2 linked regions of the Schizosaccharomyces pombe genome follow. The protein of the gene in region 2 purifies or fractionates together with the protein of the main gene of each other region. This does not show direct contact. Each region holds a gene or a part of one and is shown on either strand. Other genes may lie near its edges. The genes, in order: ric1 and rgp1.

What was found.
Region 1: the proteins of rgp1 (region 2) and ric1 purify together in Schizosaccharomyces pombe (affinity purification with western blotting; one study listed by BioGRID). This does not show direct contact.

The regions. Positions count from the first base shown.
Region 1 is NC_003424.3:4,502,703-4,508,893, forward strand, and holds ric1 (Rab-specific(Ryh1/Ypt6) Ric1-Rgp1 guanyl-nucleotide exchange factor subunit Ric1/Sat4), read right to left. Parts: upstream 4,180-6,191; 5' UTR 4,140-4,179; coding exon 981-4,139; 3' UTR 784-980; downstream 1-783. Other genes in the region: CK2 family regulatory subunit Ckb1, read left to right, coding at 1-87, 293-685; grp1 (GRIP domain-containing protein), read right to left, coding at 4,896-6,191. UniProt on the Schizosaccharomyces pombe protein: Probable component of a guanine nucleotide exchange factor (GEF) that may be required for efficient fusion of endosome-derived vesicles with the Golgi.
Region 2 is NC_003423.3:3,853,993-3,860,585, forward strand, and holds rgp1 (protein sat1), read left to right. Parts: upstream 1-2,226; 5' UTR 2,227-2,361; coding exon 2,362-2,704; exon of another isoform or gene 2,705-2,994; coding exon 2,995-4,304; 3' UTR 4,305-6,024; downstream 6,025-6,593. Other genes in the region: DNA replication factor C complex subunit Rfc1, read right to left, coding at 1-1,523, 1,584-1,643, 1,692-1,810, 1,879-1,950.

The sequences.
Region 1 (6,191 bases), on a different chromosome or scaffold from region 2:
CAAGATGAGGTAGAAGCTAGTGCTCGTCATTTGTACGGCCTTATTCACGCCCGTTATATCTTAACGGCTCAGGGTTTATATAAAATGGTAAGCAATTATGTTTGTAAACTTCTAGTTTCCTGTTTTTAAGTTTGGATACAATCTTCGTGAACAAAACAGGCATTAGACAAGTATAATGGACACTAAGTGTGTAACTTGACTTATCTTTCAATTCTTCAATTTTATTACATTTATGTCATACCGTACTATTTCGTTTTAATTAGCTTTGGATTTTGACTAACATCCTTTCTAGCTTGAGAAATACAAAAAATGTGACTTTGGGCATTGCCCTAGAGTTTTATGCAACGGACAGCCAATGTTGCCCGTCGGCTTGTCGGATATTGCCCATACAAAATCCGTTAAATTATACTGTCCTCGGTGTGAGGATGTGTACACACCAAAATCACAAAGACATGCATCCATTGATGGTGCATATTTTGGAACCTCATTCCCTCACATGCTTTTTCAGGTATACCCTGAACTTGCGGTCCCTAAATCTCAAGAACGCTACATTCCACGTATTTTTGGTTTCAAAGTACATAGCTATTCTGCTACCTTTAAAAAACAAGATGTATACAAAGAAAAGCAAAAAAAGCGTTTACAGGGAGCCGAAGCTGAATCAAAAAATAAACTGGCAATAACTTAAAGGCATTTTGCTTAATCTTCATTAACAATAGAAGTTCACCCGATTCTTCGAAGTCCCATAATCACCAAGGCAAAAAATTTTATTTACATTATAGCTATGACAGTTTTTACTAGAATGAACTTTTACGTTTTTAGATTTTTCCCGAAGCATCAGCTCCTTTTATCTAAGAGCGTAATTTTCAAACTTCTAATCATCATTGAAGCTAAAACCTTTTATGCTTATTCAGCTTTGAACCTCTTTTTTTACTTTGATAATTGCTTTAATAATTTAGTTTTGATCATGACATATACTGTGGTTAATATTTATCCACTTCTTTCATCAAATTGTTAAATTGATCGTAAAGACGAATGTCCTTGGAATCAGGCCCTTCATCGAGAAGTTCCAGCGCTGTCTTCAGTAAACGTTTTTCGGGATCCAGACTCACCAGGTAGCTAGATAACTCCGTACAAACGTCCCAGTTTTTTATTTTTAAAGCCATTTCGTATATACTTAGAAAGGTAGAAGCACAACTGGCTGAACCCTGATGGATCTGCCATATTATCAAACACTCTGCGGCACTTTTAACATCTTCTGTTTCTAAACACTTTTTCATTAAGTCTTTTGGTTCTCCGAAATACTTAAATATCATCGGCCAGTATTCAGCTTCAGTTTTTCGCAGGCAACCCAGAACGATTTTAAAAGTGGTAAACTCTTGCAAGTCTTTAAATAATAAGGATACTTCATAAAGCAATTTATCTCGCTGTGATGAGTTGTAGGTCAATAATGATGAAGAAAGTAATTTTTCTAACACAAAATTGATATAATGCAAGTGCCCATATGTCTTGACTAAGTCAATAGCTTGCTCACGTTTATCTAACAGTAATAGTGCTCGAACAATTTCCGGAAGGAATGGATAAACACCTATTTGGATATGAGCGTATTCCATCTTATTAACTAAGTTTTTATGACCCTGGGTATAAGCAGTTAATAGAAGTCCATAATTGCTTAATACAGTCAGCAAACATCCCTGAGATTCCAGATCTATACATTCCTTTTGAAACTTTTCAGAAATATTTACATTTTTAATCAATTTAGCAAGATGTGTGTTATCAAAGTTACAATCAACCCCATTTTTGTAGACAAAGCTGGGCGATCTGAGGTCTTCAACAGATAAACGATGAAAATTTTCTAGAGATACTCTTTTTGATGTATTGAGAAACTTTGGAAGGCCATCTATAAGGTTTTTAGTATTTATCAAAACAGAGGAAAGGATCTCGCTAAAAGATAACCATAGCTTAAGTCCCTTTCCCGTCATGATCCATATAGAATGAAATAATGAAGGGATTTCTTGACTTCCATTGATAAAGTAAAACTCAACGTCTCCCGCTAGCATGCTGCACTGATATAAAAGCTCTTTAGAATGTTGTTTTTTTAGACTTAACAAAACAAGTTTTCCATTAATGAGAACCAGAAGGACTGCATAAAAAAGTAAATCAGAAGGTTGAATATTTGCAAGGTCTTTTGGTAGTAATAACGTTATGCTTCGAACTCTGGATGGAGTAGTGAATATTGGAGCAAAATTTACGGATGTTAAATAGTCGAGTTCTAATCTTCCTAATTCGTTTATATCGAATCTGATGTGATGGAGGAAATTATCAGCTGTATAGACAACCAAAGAATATTCGTCGCAGACTGACATTGTCACAATTGTTGAAGTAAACGATAATTTAGCCAAGTTTTCTCTATCGTCTAAAGGCCCTTTTGCTTTGTATAGGTGTAGCTCAAAGTTGGACTCGCAAACAACACCGGCTAGCAAAAATTGTGAGCACCAAATCATTGGACAAGTAACACTGATTAATTGTTCCATATTGGCATCTTTATATAAGAACCAGGTCTTTTTTGAGCAAACATATATAGCTAATCCATGAAGCCCAGCGATTGCTATCAAACTTCCATCATCTTTGATAGAAACATATCTAATAGGCCATTCAGAAGCAACATATGGTTGAGGATACTCAACTTGATCCCAAAAGTCAATGCCAAAATTGTTTTTAACGCTAGAACAAAATTCATATGACTTCGAAATATATAACCGATCGCTAGTTTGAGCTCCACAAACTTGCAAGGTGCTTTGTACACTTGAAACTATGGTGCTCTTTAAAAAAGGTAAAATATAAATAGTGCTAATAAATTGTTTAGAATCCGTAATACTATATAAGACATCATTTGTATTGTCGTTTTGTGACAAATACTGGATATCAACGTTCTCTTTTTCCATAGCAAAAAACTCGTCGTTTTCTTTTAAGGATTCGGCGATAATCGGAGTAGATAATCCCGTTCCCTCAGCTTCACCTGTAGAAGAAAAATTTTTAGATCCTAGTCCATAAAAGGAAGAACTATCTCTATCCCAAAAGCCACAGGATAACCCAAAATTAAAATATTCAGTTTCACTACTAGCACAACACAAGTTGAGATAAGGAGACAGTGTAGCCCAACCGTCATCGTATCCAACCATAACTTGATGGCCATCACCTGTCGTAGCAATATGATTAACCTTTCCGGAGCTTGCCGAATATTTAAAAGAATGAGTTTGAACATATTGGCGACCGAAATCTCGTATTTCATAAGCATACACAGTTCCATCGGCGGTACCAACATATAAAAGAGAAAATCTGGCATTTGTAGATAAAACAGTCGCCTTCTTTTCTCTAAGCTTGGATTCCAGGTCCTCATTAATGTCCTTGTCATTATCTGACTTATTCAAATCTACAGGGTTATGTACGCAAAGGCCAAACAGACTTTTCGTATTCGTGTTGGAAGAAACACCGATATTGGCATAAACTCTTCCATCAGTTGACATCCAAAAGAAAGTGTCGATTTTAACATCGAAATAGAGTCGAGATATGAGAGAAGAATGATCCAGAAACCAAGTGACTTCTCGTAAATCGTACTGTTTACTTGACACTTTCCACAACTTATTAGGGTCAGTTGTTTCCAGCGTTGAAACCTGAATAATTGGTGCAGAATCTGCAGCATAAACGATGGAGTCCCTTTGAATCTCCAGGCATTTAAGCCCACCTCCATATCGCATAGCAAGCTTGTATTGGATTTCACACTTTATAGGCCCAAATATTTCGCCAGGTCCATCATCGTATCGAGTTAAATAAGGACTTGGCGTTAGTACAGGCTTGGAAGCATTTAAAGTGAAATGATAGACAGCTACATAGTTCTTTTCAGTTGCAACCGCTATAATTCCGTATTCAGAGTTAACAGCTATTTTTTTGTTCTTTCCATGACGTTCAAATAAGTTCTGAGACTTTGTTATCTTTGATATGAGTGTCAAGGGTCGAATTTGATATATTAAAATCTCGGTTTCAGTCAAAACAACGAAGAACGACACTTTAGGGATTCGACATATTTGTATTGCTCTGGAGGACAATTGTATTCTCTGAGGTGTTCCATGAAGGAAGTACATGAATAGTTCACCTTATTCGACAAGGAGTTTAACCATTTCCAAGGATGCTGAACCCTTTGAGAACGTAAGGATCAACAGTTGACGCTGATGTTCTACCACCATTTTCGTTAAAAAGTGCAACAAAAGGAACAACTTAATTCGTTAAATAATAATTTCGCAATTTGTTAATTTGCAACTTGCATATCAATTGAAGGATACTTATATTATTGTATAATGGAGCTGATATTTTATTTACTAGATGTCAAACGAATGCAGTAATCTAGGAAAAAGCTTCTAGTCCATTTTTACTTTAGGAATGGCAAATTATGCTCTGCTTTGTTAACGAAAGTATTGTCAAATTGTACAATAGATTAGCCATCAGCTATAAAATTACAATAAGGCTTCAATTCATTCATTGGTACATGATTTCCTATTCATTTCCCTAAATGAGAGGTTTGAAAAAAGTTAATTATAAATCGAATAGACCTAAGCTCGGTTCAAGATTTCAAAAACAAGACAAAGAACTTGATTGGTTTAATTAATTATTCGCAAAAAAAAAAAACGTATTTGAATTCGTGGGTTCTATGCAAAAGACCGTTATTAACATTATAATAGCATACCCTTCCAAAAGATATTATCGCGTGAAATCACTGCCAAGAATGGAAAGCGGCATACAAAATCAAACAAATGTTCCACATCGTAATGGACATTAACAATATGATGAATAATACAAAGAAAGAGAAAAAAGCAGTAAAACGGAATGAAAATTTTACCACATTAATATTTCACAGACAAAAGCTTTTGCTTTTGTTCTTCAGACAAATCTAACAAAATCGACAGCAAGTTCACAATTTCAGGCCGACGATCCCTCTGTTCGAGAAATTGGAAAAGAATGTTGCGTGTGTATTCCTTATCTATTAGCATGTCATCCGAGCCAGGATGCTTAGAATTAACTTCCACTGACGAAGAAGAGCGGCTTACAGAACTGTTTCTCCCATGGTTAGAAGGTTGTTGCTTACGTAGTTGATTGAACACATTTTTGAATGACTTTTGCAGGTGTTCGTATCGTGCTGTCGAATCTTCCAAATTCTTGAGAAGTGTTTGATTTTCATTCTTCAGGGCCTCCAACGATAAACCGTTATCGGGCTCAACTGATTGAGTTTTCACGTTGGAGTTTTCAAAAGAAATGGCCAGCTCCTGATACTTTTTATTAGCTTCATTCAACTTAAGTTTCAGTTCATCTATTTGAGAATTTAGTTCATTAATTTTCTCCTGGAAACTAACGCATTCAGCTTGGGAGTTAGTCAGACTGGATTCTAAGCTTTTAATCTGAGTTTCGTAATCAGAAGATAGGTTCGAGTAATGGTTTTCACCAGCCTGCTTCAAATCTTGACGTTCCAATTCCAATTGCTCAACTAATAAACGTAATTTCTGACTATCCTGCGTTTGTTCACGGAGTAATTTACGAAGTTCAGTCAGTTCTTCCTCTTTGTTTTGCAAATCTTCCTCCTGTTCTTTCAGTTGACGGTCGAACTCATTGTTTTGTTCTTGTAATGAGGTAAGTTTATTTACCGTCTCTTTCATTTGAAGTTGCTTTTCCTGTGCACTGGAGAATAGTCTTTTCCGTTCTGCTTCACTCTCGGAGACTGTTTGTTTCAAAGAAGTAATTTCGTCTTTAAGCTGACTATTAGATGTGATGTAAGAATCAAGTTCTGTCTGCATCTGCGTTCGGGATTGAAGTAACCTACTTTTGAGTGATTCAGCATCGTTCAGTTTTTTAATATTCTTTTGATTTTCTTCTCGTATTGTTTCACATGACGATTCTGCCCACAGTAAATTTCTTCTGCATTCGTCAATTTCGTTTTGCAACTTTGTAATATAATCGTTTAAGTTATCAACTCTAGACTTCAAACTTTCAGAGTTCTGCTTAAATTTTTCCGAGTTTTCCTTTAAAGTACTTTCGGCAACATGTAACTGCTTAGTAAGTTCTTCAACAAGCTTTGGCGTTTCTAAATCTACGGTATACTCTTTCGGTTTCAAATCCAAAAAAACCAAAGGAATGGTATCTGCTAG
Region 2 (6,593 bases):
AACAGCTTAACTTGTAAGTGGATAGCAAATTAATAATTTGGCGCATATCGGACTGCGTCCCCTGAACCAGTTGATCGACTGCTTGTGGTGACAATTTGAGACCTTCACGATACGCTATAGACATTATTCGGGATCGCATTGAATTAGCATCTGGCCGACGGAAACGGAGGTCAAACGTAGTACGGTCAAGGGGCCGCAGCTTTGGATGAGCACGGTCATTGCAAATACAAATAATTGGTATCATGCTTTTTTTAATAATCATATTCAACTGACCAACGCCTCCACGATCACCCGATGACATGCCATCGATTTCGTCCATAATGAGTACAAGTCGGGACTTTGCCATGTCAACGGGGTTAGCTTTTGTGCCAAAGTAGCCGGCAAGTGATTGACTATCTGTCACACCGAACAGCTGCTCATCTAGCAAGCGCTTGCTTCTAGTGTCACTAGCGTTCAGTTCCAAAACATCGTAACCTTCTAATTTTGCTACCAAATGAGCAGCAGTCGTCTTGCCAATACCTGGAGGACCAGAGAGTAATACGGCTTTGTATAGACCCAGACCATCAGGTCCAGGTTTATTAAAGTTGGACTTCCTGTTTTTGTGGTAATCCTGTAGCCACTTTTGAAGTTTTTGAACGACACCCTTATTACCACAAATATCCTTTAAAGAAGTTGGCGCATATTTTGAAGTCCATATCTGTGAAGGTTGTGATTCCTTTTTATTACTATCGTCCATTCTCGCAACAGTTTCAAGGATTTTCTTTTCTTCTTGTTCCTTTTTCTGTTGAGCAGCCTGAGCCGCAGCACCCGTTCCTCCTGAAGCAGGAAGATGAGTTATAAGATAGAAGAGTCCATCCTCGTTAATAGCAGGAATCTTGTGTTGTTTAATTGTTTCCACTTTTCTTGGACCAGCATTCTCACCTAAGAGAATAAAGTCTGTTCTAACAGAAGGTGCACCTGTCACTTTTCCACCATATTGTTTGATCAGGTCTGTAGCCTCTTGTCTAGTTAAAGTCTCTAGAATTCCTGTAATAACAAAGCTAATTCCCGAGAGACAATCGCTATTGCCTTCAGGGACGGGTTTTGAGCCTGGAGTTTGTGTTGTAGCCGCCCGTTCATAGAAAGTACCTGGAGCCATCACACCCATAGAGTCTACGTCAATTAAAGGAACATTTTTGAGGGCTTGGGAAACTTCGTCTGAGAACCTAGGTAAGCCTTTCGACTTGCTAGAACGACTTGTGTGAGTTGTCGCAGTTGTGGTATGAGATTTTGACTTTGAAGTTGTCGATTTTTCTGCTTTAGGTTGAGCAGGTTTACGTGTAGCTCTAGTTTGATGGACAACTGGCTTACTGTCTGAAGTGGTATCCAAGTCATTGGCAAAATTTTCTGTTTTTACAGGATGTACGACATCTTTGGAAGTAGTAGTTTCTTTATTGGAGATAATCCGCGGTTTAGAACGTGACCGAGTAGACTGTTGTTCAAAGTACTCATCAGGTGTAGTTGAAACTCCATCTGAACCGACACTAAACAAAAATTCAAATTAGCGAACAACGCATAATGAGGTAAAAGTAAAATAAACATACAGTTTATCGTCTTCATGAACAATGGATGGCAAAGAATGGGAAATATCTTCCGACTCATTACTAGTTGGAGGGTTAGAAATATAAACTGATAACCCGAATTAAACGAACCGTTTTTGCACTTTGCTTTTGGATGCAGGAACTTTTGAATTCTCTATTGTACCATCTTCATCATCTGATAAAACGATTCTTTTTTTCTTCAAACTCCTTTTTGGTTTTGGGGAAGTAGGCTAGACAAAGACGTTAGAAAATGAATGACTAGCTTATCAAATTTGACTGATTGAAGAAACAAACATACAGTCGGTGAGACTTTTGGCTTTTTTTGAGCGTTCCCTCCTCCAAAGAAGCTTCGAATGTCAGAATTACTCATTTCCGACGATGAATAACAATTACCCAATTCCTGAGAAGCTACTGTCTAACTTCCAAAAAAGCAGTGTATGTATGTATATTGGGCGACAATAGCAAGGAATGTGACAATTTGCCAAAAGCAGAGAGTTAACAAAGCTTCGTTAAAACATTCGTAAATGAGTAAATTAAGGAATAGTAAGGAGAGTGTAAAAAATTGATTGTGGGCGTTCGTTATTTAATCTCGTAAAATGAGTCGTGGAGGAAGAAAAGTGGGCTCTTTTACAGTACTATTTTGATTGTGCATTTGTTACGAGACTAATAAACGTTCGTCAATACGAATGAAGAAATCCAAGTTGTATGGTTATTATTAAGGTAAAGCTGAAGCCAGCGGCTTGAGAAATTATCGAATATAAGAGTTTAGTGGTGTTCGACAATGACAGAATGTGATGTGCAAATGTACATGCCAGTGAATGTAGTTCAATCCGGAACTGACTTTGAGTGCATTGTAAAATTCACGAATCTAAGGAGTTCAGAAGATGTAAATTTACTTTTGTGCTATGCTTCTATCCATGGTGAAATGTACCTTGACTATGTACTGGTGCGCGTTACAGAATTCGATGAGGTTCAGAGGCAGGGGCTCTTAAACAAAAGGACAATGAGCGGATTAGTACATATTCCCAAGGTATCCAGCAGTTATTCTGTTATTAATACTCTGAACGGGATGATTGGAAATTTATTTGGAGTTAAACAAGCAAGTACATTGACAGAGGCCTCAGGTATGTAATGGTGAAAGGGTGCAAAAGGAAATAAAGACTTGGTAAAAAAAATCTCTCAATTGGCTTACATTTGGAGGGAAGATATAGCTCGGAAGAGTGCTTATACGGTGAGGTGGACATAAAGTCAATTGACGAATTACAGAAAGGTTGTCTGGGAAGAGTTTTGTAATTCATTTGAAACATATTTACTCTTTATTCAATTTTTTTTTTTTTTTTTTTTTTTTTTGGAAGATGGTTACTCTTATTTTTACTGCAACCTACTGCTTAAGCATGAATACTAACCGATAAAGAACAAAAGCAGGAAAATGCCATTCCAGTGCTACTGACTCGTCCAGATATATTAGGAGTCGATATCACGCTTTCTCCTGGAGAGGAAAAATGCTTTCGGTTGAAGCGAAGAATTCCCCTTCGAACAGCACCTACATATAAAGGATTGGCCTTTCGATTTCAACACGCACTGGTCATAGGAGTCCAATCAGCTACCAACAATGCTTGTGTAGAGCATGAATTTGAAATTACTATAGTACCCAACGTTCAACAGCAACCTGAACTGCCACTCGGAAAGAATTCGGGAAACAGACAATCCTCGAAGCTGTTTGCAGATTTATCCAAACCGATTATTGAAACAGATGCGGCAGAAATTGAAGAGGTTTCAGCAGAGAAAGCACGTAGGCAATTCGGTAAAAACGGTATACGACTTTCGCAGGATGCGCAGGAGGAAGAGAAGCAAAAAAAGAAATACGAGCAACACATAAAAAAGCTACTTGATGGAGAGTCTAATGAAGAGGGAGGAGGAGAATTCCAAGATCATGGAATGAGGTCAGAGATCAATGAAGAAGTATTAGAGGAAGAGGATGAAGAAAAAATTGCGTTGTTAAAAAAACTCGAATCCAAGCAACCAATGGCCACGAGGTTTGAGATTACAAGCAAACAAAAAGTGTTATGTCGATTGCTTTTGAGCAAAAGCAGATATCGGACAGGAGAGATGATGATGATTGAGCTAGAAGGACTGGACGCGATGGTTCGACAAGTGCATATGCAACTTGAAAGTGTGGAGCGTATTGTGCCAGACATCCGTATACGCAACAGCGTAGGGACGGAGAGGGCGACGCGAAAAGTGTGGTGTAGAATTACACGGGGAGTGTTTGAGTTGGAAAACATGAGCGCTTCGATGGTTGTGCCGGAGGAATGTCCGGAAACATTTGAAACACAGCAATTTGGAGTGGAACACTTTTTGCGGGTGGAATTGTTAAGGGCGGTGAACAAGAAACGTGAGATGCAGGGACCGGCGCATCCCCGATATAGTGAAGAGGTGCAGAGTCCGAGTCGATCGAGATACAGTGAAGAAGTACAGAGGGTGAGTGAAGGTAGATTGAGCGAAGAGGTAAGCAAGGAGGAAGAGAAGAAAGGAGGGAGGGAGAGCGGTCAGCACAAGCGAATGGCATCGCTAACGAATTCGCGAGAGATGCAAATCCAGCATGCACCGACAACGTTTGCGGCAGAGACGATTCAATGTGTTTTGCCGATTCGAATTGAAAAGCGAGTTGTGTGGATGGAAGATGGAATGGAAGGAGGGATGGAGGGGATGCAACCGGTTTAGCCAAACAATTGAGTAATCCGATCGTTGATCAAATCAAGTCTCAAAAAATTTTAACCAGCTCATACTCCAACCTTGCTAACGTCTGCGAGAATGGATGATTTCGCTTTTGCTTTCCATTTTGAAAATTCAATCCATTACCGCACCGTGCTCTCTCTCGTACTCCCCTCATTGTGCAGTAAAGTGGGAAGCCACGAAAAAAGGATATAACGATTGTTTGTGAGAGAGAAAGAACGAAAGAACGATGGATGATTGAAAGTGTCGCTTAGTTTTAAGATAACGACAATTCCCTTGATTTCGCAATTCTCCTTTTGGGTACTTTAGGCTCCCCTGGCTCCCTAACGATGCTTTCTTGTAGCGCTGGCTCTGGTGCGTGTTTTTTTGCGCTGATGCTTGATATCAATCATGTCATTTCATTCTATGCATTTAGGGGTTCGGACACTGAGTGTCACGAATGCAATCTATCATACAATATCAAATTTCCAATCTCTCGGTAACTTTGTATGCATTATTAGCAGACAAGTGACGTTTTATGCAGTAGTAGCAGTTTTTGCAATGGAAGTAGTAAGCCAGCAAGCAAGGAATGGAAAAGGTATGTTGTATGTGTATCCCCCCTTCCTTGTCTGACCTGACTTGGCCTAACCCTGTCTTAACGCAGCCTTGGCTTTCTTCGTTACACAATGCTATTTCTATTTTAAGTGTGTTATACTGGGTTATGCTATTCTCGAAGCCAATCTTGCCAATGTGAGCAAGTGAGCCAATCTCGGAAAAAACCTCCCCGTTCCTTCCTTTACCGCCGTGCAGTGAGAGGTGACGTGAAATTGAGATCATTGGTGATTGGGAAGATCAGATGGTTTTGGTACGACTTTTCTTAAAATTGCCATTTTGTCCATACCGTCAATGCCAAGGAAATTGACTCGATATCCGTTTCGGAACGCCCTGATACTACGTCATTTTTCAGGGTAGGGGTGAAGTCAGTTTTCTCAAGGGGGCACTGCCCCACATGGGCTCTAATGGACATCGGTGTTTTTTTTTTTCATCTTGCGGCACCAGTCGAGTCAGTTTGACCAAATTGGCCTTGAAAGATGACTGACCTCTTATTTGTCGATGACAGCGGCCCTCATTGACGATGACGACACTTTTTTGGAATGAGTGAATAAGGCGCGATAGTGTTTTCTCCTATTTGGTGATATGGAAACGGTGCGTTTTTCTACGCGCATCTTCCGAAGAGGTAAGGTTTGGCTTTCGAGACCTAAAAGTCATTCTCCTATCAATCGCGTCATGTTAGATTGTTGATGGGCCTTGGGCAGTGGGAGGTTCTTGTAGGGAAAAATAGCACGTTGCAAGAAGGACGAAAGAGCACAAGGAGGAGGATCAGAGAAAGAAAGAAAGAAAGAAGAAAAGAACAAATTCTTGCGCACTTCACTAAATAGATGGTAGCGAAACATATAAAAGAGGCTAGACATAAGAGAAACGCTAGACTTGGGAGAAACGCTGGAGGTAGGAGGAACGCTAGATATGGGAAGAGTTGAGTAGGGAGAGAGAGTAAAGAAAGAATGAAAAGGAAGATTAGAAGAAGAAAGAGGGATAGAATAAAAAGGAAATGGTTTTATTCCTGTTGAATGATTGAAATAGTTGTATGAATAGATGCAAATAACTATCATTAAACATATAAATAGATGCAAATACAAATAATACTAATAATTTAAATAATATTAACAATACAAATAATTTAAATAATACAAATAACTATCATTAAACATCTAAATAACTCGCCAACTAAACATCCAATTCCTATTTATAAACATCGAAACAACATACATCCGTATAAGAATGAATCTTGAGGATCCTTTTCATTATAATAGTATAGTTTAGTAAAGTAAAGTATAGTCTAGTATAGTATAGTATAGTATAGTATTTTCTTTTCTTTTAGATTTCCCCTTGACATTATCGACTCTTTTCTTCGTTTATTAGTAAAGCATGTATGTTACATTAAATCAAATTTCATTCGGTTTTTCTTTTTCCTTTATGTGCAGCGCTCAACAAAGGGACAGGGATGCTATGGACTAAAAATCGTGCTGATGGAAGCGGCAGACATTACAACGTCACCTGCAACGATGCCTTATCATATGTGCGTACGTGTGCAAATCGAGAATGGGATCGACGGACAAAAGAGATGCAATTTTCTTCTCGTCGCAGTAGGAGCGAGCATACAGCGATCGGGTGATACTTGGAGAATCAAGTAGGGACGAATGAAAGTGTGTATGAATTTGGGGAGTAGTAGGAGTAAAA